Regions from separate parts of the Mus musculus genome. Here all the other regions are reported to be linked to region 1. Evidence: microRNA targets listed by miRTarBase, many of them from high-throughput screens and not tested one by one. Region 1 holds a microRNA gene; each other region holds the end of a gene's coding sequence.

Region 1 (4,664 bases):
TGGGTGCTTGGATTAAGGAAGGACTCTGGTGTTGGGGACAGAAGGGCAAGGCTGAGGGAGCGGGTCCTGTGTGTCACTGGGGCACCGTGGGCTTTGGCCTGGGCGGTGTGGGGGTTCCATTTCCTAATTCCTGTGTGGGCCGAGTGGGCGGGGGCGGGCTTTCCCCCCTAGGCTATTAAAGGCGAAGGGCGGGCTTTTCCCAGGGATCGGGCTTTGGGACGCAGCTCGAGGTGACGGACCGCTGCCACAGGCTCGTGTGCACAAGTGGTGCTGCGCGGACACTTTGGGGGTTAGGTGTGCGTGGGCCGCCGGGGCGCGTTTCCTGCACGTGGCTCCTCGCCGCCCTCCCTCCTCCACCAGCTAGGAGAGCAGAGGGCCAGGAGCTCTAGGAAGATGCGTGCGGTTCCCTGATCCTGGCAGGCAGGACAGCAGCGGGATGGTCGCGCGCGCCACCTGCCAGGGCGGGTCACTGGCAGATCCCCTACGCGCTTGTTCTGGATGACTGGACCAGGAGATGCGTACCTCCGCGGGCGCAGCTGTGATCCCAGAGAGTTAACTAAGGTGGGAGGGGATGGAGCTGGCAAGACTTGAGAAAAGCAAAGTACCTGAGTGTAGTTGAGGGGTGCCAGGCAACTCGTGAGAAAAGGACTCTCCCTTGTTGCTCTGAAGGTTTCTGGAGAACTTGTGGGTGGTCAAATGCCAGGGTGCACGTGGGGTGTGGGGCGGGAGGACTCCCGACCTACCTTGGTTTCCCTCCCACCAACCCGAGAATGGAGGGAGAGGCTTAAGCTTGGCGCGTTTTGGGGGCTTTGAATGGAGAACTCCGTTTCCCATAATGCTTTGTTTCTTTCTGTTTAATTTTGGTGGCCGCTAAGGTGTCTTGAAGACCTAAGCGCGTGGCATGACTGGCTGGAGCACACCCTGCGTTCCCAGGAGGTTCACAGATCTCTACTGGAGCCGCTGCTGAAGATGCGGGAATAGACCAGAGAAAATCCCGAAATGGTAAAAGACTGGGTCCTCTTTGCAATTTTAGAAGTTGTACAGCGACTTTCTAGTATATATGATGGAGAGCAGATGTGTTAAAGAAAGGTATTAGCTAGAAGGAGCTTTCTCTGGAGGGCTGAGGTATGGTTTTGCGAAGTTGAGTCAGGTTTTGTAATATATTTTTAGTGGAGGCAAAAATCTCTAGTTGTAGGAACCCAGTTCAAGAAGAAAAGTATAATAAGCCAATACTTGCACTATAGGAAGCAGATTTCATATTTACTTCAAAAGTTTTGCTAATTTATATTTAAAATGTTTTAAGAACTATCTTAGTCACTAAGTGGCTTCGAAAAGTTCCAACATTTAAAATATCCTTTCTCATTGAACACATTTCAAGTTTTGTGTCCCTGAAGTTTATTGGTGTCCCCCCATCAACACAAACATTCCATCATGGGAGGGAGGGAGCTCGTGACCCCTCAGACTGTCCTCTGCAGCATTTTCCTGGGTAAGATACACACTTGGAAATGAGAGAGGTTTTTCCTGTGGAAGATAATGACATGAAGCCAAAGAGCTAATCTGACTTCTTTAGGTTTAATGGAGAAAATGGGTCCATAAATGTTTAAACAGAAGTAGAGCCCTTTGAAATAGATGAAAATGTGACATCTCTAGGCCATCTGTGCGGTATGTGAAGAGTGTAAAACTGTTTCTTAAAGCGGCTCTGAAATTTCTATCATTTTCTCTTAATGGGCTGGGGGCAGGGATGCTTCATGTAATCAAACATAGAGACCTTCCGAGTGGCTCCCCAAAGCTCTGGATGAGCTCAAGACGTCAGTACTCACCCTAATGTTATTTATTTATTTTTTTGCTTACATCTTTTCCTGGGCTCTTGCCTCTTAGAAAACCATGGTGGATATTACAGCTCTGCAAATTTTCTGGGATGCGAATCTCAAATTTCCTTAGACGGAGAGGGAGTCCAAAATCCTCTTACTCTTAAGAGTCAGACATTCTGAGATTGCCAGTGTTATTCATGTTTAAGTCTGTGTAAATAATTGAGCTTATTAATGTTTGAAGTAACACAACCCCATTTGCACTCTTAACGGAAGGCAAACTTGTTTTAGAAATAGTAACTCACAGTTCACTTACTTGCTGTGTGTGTGTGTGTGTGTTTATCCAGGTGAGTCTGCAGATCTGGCAAAGAAGAGTTCGTGGAAGACTTCAAGGTTACACTCCTGGAGTATGCCTTGGCCATGTCAAAGTGCTAACAGTGCAGGTAGCTTTTTGAGTTCTACTGCAGTGCCAGCACTTCTTACATTACCATGGTGATTTAATCAGAGGCCGCTGAGTCCCCTGGTTTCTGCATAGTTAGATTGTGGATGTTTTTGAGCTGCTCCTTGTAATGTGTCTCTTGTGTTAAGGTGCATCTAGTGCTGTTAGTGAAGCAGCTTACAATCTACTGCCCTAAATGCCCCTTCTCGCACAGGCTACTTCTTACCTTGCATTTGAAAAGCATATCTTGAGAAATGATTTGAACGGCACAAGTTTCAAAGGCTCTTTCAGTGTTTCGCCGAGAAACAGATGGCGGAGACTGTAGTATACAGTTGTGTAGAAGAACAAGCTCGGATCCTAGTAGTGCCAAAGTGCTCATAGTGCAGGTAGTTTTTATACCACTCTACTGCAGTGTGAGCACTTCTAGTACTCCTGGATCAACCAAGGTCTTGTTGAAGCAACTACAGCGCAAGGACATTGCTACTTACGATTAGTTTTGCAGATTTGCAGTTCAGCGTATATGTGAATATATGGCTGTGCAAATCCATGCAAAACTGATTGTGGGAATGTGTACCTTTCTGCATCGTAATGGACACCTTTATGCACATCTTCAGCATCCATGCCCATTCATCCACAGGTGGGGATTGGTGGCATTACTTGTGTTAGATATAAAGTATTGCACTTGTCCCGGCCTGAGGAAGAAAGAGGGTTTTTAATCGTCTTTTAGTTTCTGAGTATTGTAAGTTATGTTAGACTGTAATTATGAAATGAACTGTTTTGCTGTTATCAGGTGGAACACGATGCAATTTTGGTTGGTGTAATAGGAGGAAAATTGCACGGTATCCATCTGTAAACCGCAGGACCTATGTGGACAGCCGTCTATCAGTGCTATAGTAAGATTGTAAAATCCTTTAGCTAGTCATTGCTTTGAACACATTTGGAGTGGATTTTTTTTTTTTTTTTTTGGTTTTTCAAGACAGAGTTTCTCTGTATAGCCCTGGCTGTCCTGGAACTCACTCAGGGTGGCCTCGAACTCAGAAATCTGCCTGCCTCTGCCTCCCAAGTGCTGGGATCAAAGGCGTGCGCCACCACGCCCAGCTTGGAGTCTAATTTTTTAAAACTACATATTTTTAAATATATTTGAAATCCTGACATTTTGATTGCACTGAATGTAAACAAACCTGAAATTTGCAAAATAAAGCTGATATATAAGTCTGAAAAAAAATGGGTTTCTTTTTTCTTTTTTAAAAGATTCTATTTATTTATTTATTTATTTATTTATTATATGACAAGTACACTGTAGCTGTCTCCATAGACACCAGAAGGTGGCATCAGACCCCATTCCAGATGGTTGTGAGCCACCATGTGGTTGCTGGGATTTGAACTCAGTACCGCTGGAAGAGCAGTCAGTGCTCTTAACCACTGAGCCATCTCTCCAGCCTGGGGCTCTCTTTTTTTTCTCTCTTTTTTTTTATTAGGTATTTTCCTCGTTTACATTTCCAATGCTATCCCAAAAGTCCCCCATACCCACCCACCCCCACTCCCCTACCCACCCACTCCCCCTTTTTGGCCCTGGCGTTCCCCTGTACTGGGGCATATAAAGTTTGCAAGTCCAAAGGGCCTCTCTTTCCAGTGATGGCTGACTAGGCCATCTTTTGATACATATGCAGCTAGAGACAAGAGCTCCGGGGTACTGGTTAGTTCATATTGTTGTTCCACCTATAGGGTTGCAGATCCCTTTAGCTCCTTGGGTACTTTCTCTAGCTCCTCCATTGGGGACCCTGTGATCCATCCAATAGCTGACTGTGATCATCCACTTCTGTGTTTGCTAGGCCCCAGCATAGTCTCACAAGAGACAGCTATATCTGGGTCCTTTCAGGAAAATCTTGCTAGTGTATGCAATGGTGTCAGCGTTTGGAAGCTGATTATGGGATGGATCCCTGGATATGGCAATGGCTCTCTTTTTAAATTAGCAATACTATTGGCTTTTCTAAAATAGCGTCTTGGTATGTAGCTCTGGTTAGCTTGGAACTCAATTTGTAAACTAGGCTAGCCTTGAACTTGCGGAGATCTGTGTGTTTCTGCTTCTAGAATGCTGAGATTAAAGGTAGGCACCCCTCCACTCCTAGACTTCCAGCATTTACATACATTTATCTATCTATCTATCTATCTATCTATCTATCTATCTATCTATCTATCTATCTACTTATTTAGTGTGTGTGTCATGTGGTGATTTGAGAACAACTGTAGGGAGCTAGTCATGTGGGTCATGGACATACATCTTAGATTTCTTAGGCCCGATGGCAAGTGCCCTTCCCCCACTGAGCTGAAAACAAATTTTATAGGGTATGTCTTGAAGGAACATTTGAATATAACTGGAATTTAAGTTTGCGTTGAGTCTTTGGTTTTATCACTAC
Region 2 (3,832 bases), not on the chromosome of region 1:
TGTGAGCCACCGTGTGGTTGCTGGGGTCTCTCCAGCCGTAAGAGACTTTTCTATTTCTTTTTAAACCAAAGATCTCTGAGGTGGGTAGTAAACTCAGGTGCCGGCATGTTTGGCTGCTGTCCAGCTGTAGTTTTGTCAGCCAGATGGCTCTTGTGCTGCTCACTTGCCCATGGTCCTTAGAGGCAGGCAGCAAGAGGCCACAATACTGATGGCAACCCCAGTATCTCTGCATGGTGACAGAGCATTGGAGAAAGATACTGGGATAACAGAGTGGCAGAAATGGGCCTCTGTGGCTATGTTTGTAATCTTTTTTTCTCTTGGCCATGTTGCCTACAGGTTGCAATAAATTGACAGACCAGACCCTGTTCTTCCTAAGGCGAATTGCTAATGTCACCTTGATTGACCTTCGAGGATGCAAACAGATCACGAGAAAAGCCTGTGAGCACTTCATCTCAGACTTGTCCATCAACAGCCTCTACTGCCTGTCTGATGAGAAACTGATACAGAAGATTAGCTAAGACATGCTCAGCCCAGACTGAACAGGAAAATCTTCCCCTGCCTTCCCACCAAGGAGAGTCTCTCCCTGACCCTGCGCAGGCTCTGAGGCCAACGACACATTCCCTCTCTGCTCTCTTTTCTCTGAGCCCTTCTCCCACAGGTGGGGCAGAGAGGTTGGTGGACACCAAGGTTATTGCCTGCTCCTCTCCCTCCCACGGAAAAGAAAGGAGAGGTTGATCAAGGAGAAAGCACAGGCTGTGCTATCCCAGTTCCTGCTTGCTTGCTCGTCTGCCAGCTAGGAAGCTGGGCTCTCAGTTTGGGGGAATTTGTGCATCTTTCACCTGCACTGGGCCAAGAACCCTACCTTCTCACCCATAGTCCCTAGCAGTGCCTGGTTCTGAGCATACTCTAGGGAGGAAGGCAGCCTTGCCTCCATGGCCAGATTCTCCTCATGGTGTCCGTTGCGTGTCTCTCCTCCGTTAAACTCTCCCGGCTTCTGCAGGAGGAGCCAACAGCCCTAGAAACACCAGGCCTGGCAGGTCTCAATGGTGCTGTGAGTTGTCTGAAGCTTTGCTCCATGTCTGTCATAGCCCTTTTTTCTTGTCCCTGAGCTTGATGCTGTCCAACACTCATAATACAGTCCCCATTCTGCCATCACCCCCTAAACTTTTCCACTAGTCACCCACTTGTCCTTTGTTGCACTTACTTGGGGTTATCAAAAGCTCTTCAGAGGAGCTGGAACTCTGCCCCTCCCCCCCCCCCCCGAAATGCCCATATCATTGCTACCCAGGCATATTCTAAGACAGGCATCATTAATACTCCCCACCCATTGCTGCCCACCAACTGCCCTTTTCCATTTGTCCTCTTTCTGCCTGAGCAGGGCTTTTCTAGAATTTGTGTCCTCAGAAGGAGCAGCATGTTTCTCCAGGTGGGGGAAACAGAAGACTGGTTGAATCCCCACCTGCCTCTCTAAGCCAGGCTTTTCTGGGCTCTGGTTTAGCATGGCCCTCTGAGCCCAGGCCTGTGTATAACCTAGCAGCTCACTGACCTGGTGCCTTTTAAGGGGAGTCCTGATTGAAAACCTACCCTCTGCCTGCAGCCTTGGAAGTGTGTGTGCATGTGCCTCTGTGTGTCTGGCTAAGTGTGCTGCACATATGTGCAGGGAAGGAGGGGAGCATGATGGCTCCCACTCCTCATCGCCCTTCTTCAAGCCCCATCAAGCTGCCCCCTTTGACTTTGCATTGAACGGCCTGTCCAAAGATCCTCTCTCTAGGGCAGCAGAGAGCTTTTTGCACTTTAGAAAAAAAAAAAAAATGAAAGAAAGAAAATGGTCGGAACTGTTCTGGGTCAATATTTAGAGTATGAGGAGATGCTCAGCAGAGGCCTGTGGCCAGAGTTTGTCAGTGATACATGCAAATTTGCACTCTGCTCCCCATCTATAGGAGATTGATAATTGATAGCACAGCCTTGCCCCGCCTTCTCTTAGCCCCAAACATATCCCTTCCCACTTCCCACCCCATTTCCTGGAATCTAGCCTCAGACTTTCCTAAACTCCATCAAGAGGGGACAGAGCCCGGGCACCATGAGTCTGAAGTGTGAACCGCCCAAGGAGAGATGCTAACTGTACCCTTGCCACTGCCAAAGCAATAGAGGCAGAAGTGTCCCCTCTGCCACTCAGCCCAGCTTTGACCCTGGCAATAACCAGACTTTTTCCAGGAAAACTGGGTTTCTGGCAAGGGATGGCATTGTTTCTTCCAATCTGCTGATTTCTCTTGGCTGCACCTTAAAAACAGCAGTCTGCTCCCTTGACCCTCTGCCATTCCATTGGTCTTCAGGTCCCAGAATCCTGGGCCTGAAATGTTGAGGAAACGCCAGTGACTTATTCCAGAGTGCCTCAGTTGGGGGAACTTCTGTAAAGAACCCTGGGTGTTGAGCAAAAACCTTATTAATACTATTAATGACCTATAATTAGAAGCTTCCTGACTTTTTTTCTTTTTGGTTGCTCCTGTGGAAAATACTAAAATTACTAAGTTTTGTTTGTTGTCTTTTTATGAAAGGGGAGGTGGAGAGACCCTTTCAGAGCAGGGATTGTGCCGGGAGAGTGCCTCTGCCCTTTGGGACAGTTCATCCACAGAAATTTCTAAGCTGATGGCTTGTCTGGGTTTTGGTCTTTGCATTTGAATTTAGAAAAAGCAAGCATTTTACCGCACAGAAATTTGTCAGTGGAAAAGGGAGCTCAGGGTGGTGGCAGATGGACTGACGCCCTTGCTGGGTCTTTTCTTTAGGACTATGAGGGAGAATGGTTTTTAGAGGTGAGAGTTGGTCCTTGCAAAAAGAGAGAAGTGTCTCCGAGGACGTAGAACATGCGAGTTCATAGTCCTGCATCTACTCTTAGCTGCAGTCTTGCCAGAGCCTGGCCTCAGACTGCAGGACCTGACCTCTGCCTTCATCTTTCCACATACTGGGGCAAAAAAACACAAAGGAAAGGAAGAAAATTATATATATATAATTATATATATATAATATAAAATCACTTGGTGATTAAAAAAATAACTGCTCAATAAATAAAACTCCTAAAGTCACTATGTTTAAAGGGTTTGGTTTTTTGGGGGTGGGTGGGAAATATTGTAAATATATATTTTTTGTTGCTTATTTAGAGTCGATCTCCAATGTTGTGCTAAGATTTTTAAATTAAATGTAAGCATTAAGGGAATGAGTCTTAGGCCACCAGCTGACACATTGGCATTATTTTGGGTCAGGGAAGGAAGAAAGCTAGTTGGACTTTGTTTTCTAAAAGTTTCCCACTTGGTTTTAGAAAGAGCAAAGATGTCTTTCTTCTGACACTTGGGAATGGGAGATATTTGTGTAATAAAATTTTTAAAAGACAAAAAAAGAAATAGCCTCCAATGGGAAATATTTTGATTTGGTTTTCTTTTTTGTTTTTGTTTTTAAATAAAAAGACTTTAAAAACAAAAACTAACCCCTTTCATTTTTGGTGTATGTGTATGTCTATCTAAGAGGATGTCAGAAGGTCATATAGACATGCTGATGTCTTGCTAAAACTAGGAAGTGCCTGCCCCACCACTCTGGACAGAAACATCTGTGGTACAAGCCTGTATACTTACTAGCTTTCTTAATGTCAAAAAGCAACACTTGCTCGATGAAGTTAAATTTTAAAAGTACTTTACATGTGATTGCAGGCGTGTACATATACCATGGCATACTTCTGACCTGTGGAGGTTACAGGGCAGCTTGGAGGAGTCTCTTGTTTTTGTAACCATGTGGAGTTCCATGCTTGTAAAGGTCAGAGGGTAGTTTTTGGACACTTTTTTAT
Region 3 (3,832 bases), not on the chromosome of region 1:
TTCTATAGTGTTCATTTTTATCTCACTGTTTCACTGGTATCTGTCTTTGACAATCTCCACAGATGGTTCGCAAGCACCAGCTAGACCCCCCAAACCACGACCCCGAAGGACTGCACCAGAAATTCATCACAGAAAGCCCCATGGGCCCGAAGCGGCGTTGGAAAATGTCGATGCAAAAATTGCAAAACTCATGGGAGAGGGGTATGCCTTTGAAGAGGTGAAGAGAGCCTTAGAGATTGCCCAGAATAACGTGGAAGTGGCCAGGAGCATACTTCGAGAATTTGCCTTCCCCCCTCCTGTCTCCCCACGTCTGAATCTATAGCAGCCAGAACTGCAGACACCAAAGGGCAGTTAACAAATATTCCAGGAGTATGAGACAGAAGGACTGAGAGGGAATGCAGGAGCCACGGTGTCTTTCCGTGTGGCTTCCCCAGAAGGCAGCCTGGAGTCCAGCTTCTCTGGTTCCACAGCTCTCTTAGGATGCCCACACTGAAGCTTCTGTGTTTGTGCTAGCCATACTTTGAAATCAGGGTTGAACTGATAAAATAATTTAAAGACGTTTACTCCCCCTTGAACTTTGAATCTGTGAAATGCTTTTCCTTGTTTACACGTTGGCAGAATTGCAGTTTGTCTCTGTTTTTGATCCCTGTACTGTGTTCCTGACAGGCCCTTTGCAGAGTTGCTCAGGTCTGCTGTAAGTTTCTCCATGCCTGCCCTGGTGCCCACATCAGAGGCTAAACCATCTCTTTGTTTTGCTCTCTATCCGGGCCCCACCTCATGTCCCCAGCCAGGTCCAATTCCATTTCTCCCATTCACACGGCACGCTAGTCTGAAGGTCCTGATTTTTCAGTGTTTCAAACTAATGCAGAAAGAAAAAGGAAAATGTGTGTGGTCTTGTCTTCACTACTGAGTCTTTTCTTTGGGAACCATCACTGTTGAGAGGTGGGGGAAAACCTGAATGTAAAAAGCATTTATTTGTCAATAAACTGCCTTTTGTAAGGGGTTTTTATATACTATAAAAGAGCTTCTCTTGTTAGTTTAAGTTCTGTGACCTTTAGGTTCCCGAACTCTCCCTCTCATCCACCCAGGAGTGTCATAATGCTGTAAAAGTGACTGCTGCAGATGCAGGGAAAACAGGCTTGCAGGAGACTGCTTGTACTCCAGTACCATAATGAGATGCCCTGATATTAATGCCTGCATCACTTTCAGGAGAGATGGAAAAGGGGACCACCGCCTGGAAATATGTTAATATGCCTTTAGATAAGGTCATGGACATACATGCCTTTCCCAAGTGGAATAGAGCCCATTTTCTATTTTATGATGTCACCCTGGCTCCTCACAGTGTGGGAGCCCCCTAAGGCACTGACGACTGTTATGTATCACTGCAACTGCAGGCCTTGTAAGTTGCAAAACTCTTAGTACCCTTTCTCCACTCATGGTAGGAGTCCTGTTTACTCTGTGGGTTTTGTTGTTGACTGCTCTGTGTTGCCCCCATCCAGGCAGATGAAACTGTGGTTACTTCTAATCTATGGATATCTTTTGACCATCTGTAATGTGCGTTGCACTCTTGTGGGCTTTGAAAGCACAAACTCTCACACATGGACTCCATCATATTATTTGTGTAGATGCGTTTGGTGGTAAATGTCTCCAGTCTGATGGATGAAGCTTCCAAGATTGGTGTAAGGACTTTAGACCTCTGTGGCAATTTCAGGTTTTTGGGTTGGGTTGGGTTAGGTTGGGTTGGGGTTTTTGTTTCTTTGGTTTTTTGTTTTTGTTTTGTTTTGTATCCCTAATAGTGGGGGGAAAAGAATAAAAACTATCTCTGTGCAAGAATGCTTGAACCACATTTTGATAGTTTCTAAACATTGATTTTAGGCTTGTGTGGATGTTTCTTACCACTCGTTACTCCACACCTAGTCTCACATACAGAGATGCCTCGGATAATCACTTATCCTGACAAATGACAAGATAGTAAGTACATCAGACAGATCCGATGGAGCTGCCATTGTACAAGACTCATGGACAAAGCTGTGTTTGTCCAGGAAGGGAACCCAGCACATTCTTTTACAGTTTGGCTTTTATGGAATGAGACAGGATTTGAGGACTCTTAGTCTGCATATTTTAGGTTTGTTTGGATGGTCTTATGTTGCTTCTGCTACCAGAGGTGTATTTTTTTTTTTAATGTTTTCATATCCTATACCTGGGAGGAGGTATGAATACAAGTTTTTTTTTATACTTTCTACAATTGGCTATTTGTTGTTTTCTTATCTGCTCTTACTTTCTGTACTTGTTTTATAAGTTCTGATGTCATACTGATACAGTGCTGTGTCTGTTGGGCTTCATGTAGCTTGCCAGCAATCAGCATAGCCTAATACCTAGAGTTGCCCCTTTGTTGTCCTTACACTGTTAAAACATCCTTAAAGGAGGAGGGGGTAGGTTTACAAGAGGAACCCTGGGACCCACAGCATATTCACCTCCACTCTCAGAAAGTACAAGAGATTTTCCTCCAGAATTTAAAAGCTAAGGATGTGCTGACACAGTTTTTTGGAACCTGAAGTTTCGGCAGGGTAGGGAAGTGTAAATAATTTTCTGGATTGTACCAAGATCCCTACTGCAGCCACTCAGTAGCCACTGTTGGTTTTCTCATCAAGGAAAGTGAATCTTAGGAGTCATATGTAAGACAAAGCAAAGAGAAAATGGGAAAACTCACAAAATTTATTTGAAAAAAAAATGTTGAAATTATTTTTCATTTTGAAAGGGACTACTAGTTAATAGTTGCTAACTAACACAATGTTCCACACTTTGTTCCCTCTGATCCAGAAATTGAGGTGCCCCCCCATGCTCAAGATCTGATAATAGAATTACCCTCAATCCAATATCTTATATAGTCTGCACAATTAAAACAAACCATGGCTAATTGTAACCCCTACCTGGGATCCATCTCCAATGATATTCCAGTCATTGTTTTTCTAGAAATGGGGAGTTATTTTTTTCCTTTTCCTTTTATCCTCCCCACCCCCCACCCTGCACCTGACTTCTTGGTATCTGATATATATCACAGCCAAATTTTCTGGACACAAATACTGGCATTTTGATGCTTAACTTATCATGGTCCCACAATTCCAGTAGATAGCCCTTTTCCACGTTCTCCCTCCCTACAGTACAACAGAGCCCTGGCTACAACCTTCAGAAGTCTGTTTGCTAACTCAGTATTTCACACACCCAGGACACATGCAGAGCTCTTCATAATGTGAACTTCCTAATTGTTCAGTTCCAGAAGCATTTCCTGCAGTTTGAACGTGACTTTGCCTCTCGGATTTTCAACTTGAAGCCTTAGTTTGCACTGAATTGTCTCATCTGGTTTTAAAATGTCTCAAATGGACTGATTTGGAATCAAAATGTGGTATATTTTAAATATTGATGCAGGTACTTTCTGTAAGCCTGAAATGTTGAGCTTCGAAGGAGACTTTCTGGAAAAAGACAGCAATAGAAAGTTTTCTTCTCAGTTCCTATTTTTATTGTTTTGAAATGCAGTTTTTACGACTTGTCTAATGTGGCAAAATAGCTATGTGTTCAATTAATTTATATTTTATTCTTTTTTCATTTCTGGATATGTAACAAACCTCAAGTACTTTATCTGTTCTTTTAAGGTATTTTATAAAATGAATGTTAACAAATGCCTTTTGTATGTTATTTTTCAAGTGAGCACAAGTACGTCTTTGAAAGCATATTTCTGATGTTATTTTTCCATAGGATTATGGAAATGGCACTAGAAAGCTACCTGGGCAGACATATCCACCTTACAAAAGGGCTTAGTCACCAGGTGCCAAAC

Evidence for each region. Region 1 holds the annotated microRNA mmu-miR-19b-3p (UGUGCAAAUCCAUGCAAAACUGA, at 2,783-2,805, shown strand). A microRNA usually pairs through its seed, bases 2 to 8, with sites in the 3' UTR of a target mRNA and lowers its output. Matches are read on the target gene's strand: a 7mer-m8 pairs with bases 2 to 8, a 7mer-A1 pairs with bases 2 to 7 and ends in A, and an 8mer does both.
Region 2: the mRNA of Kdm2a is a reported target of mmu-miR-19b-3p. Seed matches in the 3' UTR shown: 7mer-m8 at 1,787-1,793 and 7mer-m8 at 1,916-1,922.
Region 3: miRTarBase lists Cblb as a target of mmu-miR-19b-3p. Seed matches in the 3' UTR shown: 7mer-m8 at 3,338-3,344.

What each region holds. Positions count from the first base shown.
Region 1 is chrX:52,740,132-52,744,795 of GRCm38, reverse strand. Mir19b-2 (microRNA 19b-2) reads left to right here and starts at 2,730; the gene lies at 2,730-2,813. Mir363 (microRNA 363) reads left to right here and starts at 3,029; the gene lies at 3,029-3,103. Mir92-2 (microRNA 92-2) reads left to right here and starts at 2,868; the gene lies at 2,868-2,958. Mir20b (microRNA 20b) reads left to right here and starts at 2,604; the gene lies at 2,604-2,683. It also overlaps Mir18b, Mir106a and Kis2.
Region 2 is chr19:4,315,786-4,319,617 of GRCm38, reverse strand. It overlaps Kdm2a (lysine (K)-specific demethylase 2A), which reads left to right. Exons shown (of 21, transcript NM_001001984.2): 21 at 337-3,474. The coding sequence ends at 518. Among named protein-coding and RNA genes, the nearest start is that of Grk2, 11 kb to the right of the region's middle.
Region 3 is chr16:52,204,371-52,208,202 of GRCm38, forward strand. Cblb (Casitas B-lineage lymphoma b) reads left to right here. Exons shown (of 18, transcript NM_001033238.1): 18 at 63-3,677. The coding sequence ends at 322. Among named protein-coding and RNA genes, the nearest start is that of Gm23513, 100 kb to the left of the region's middle.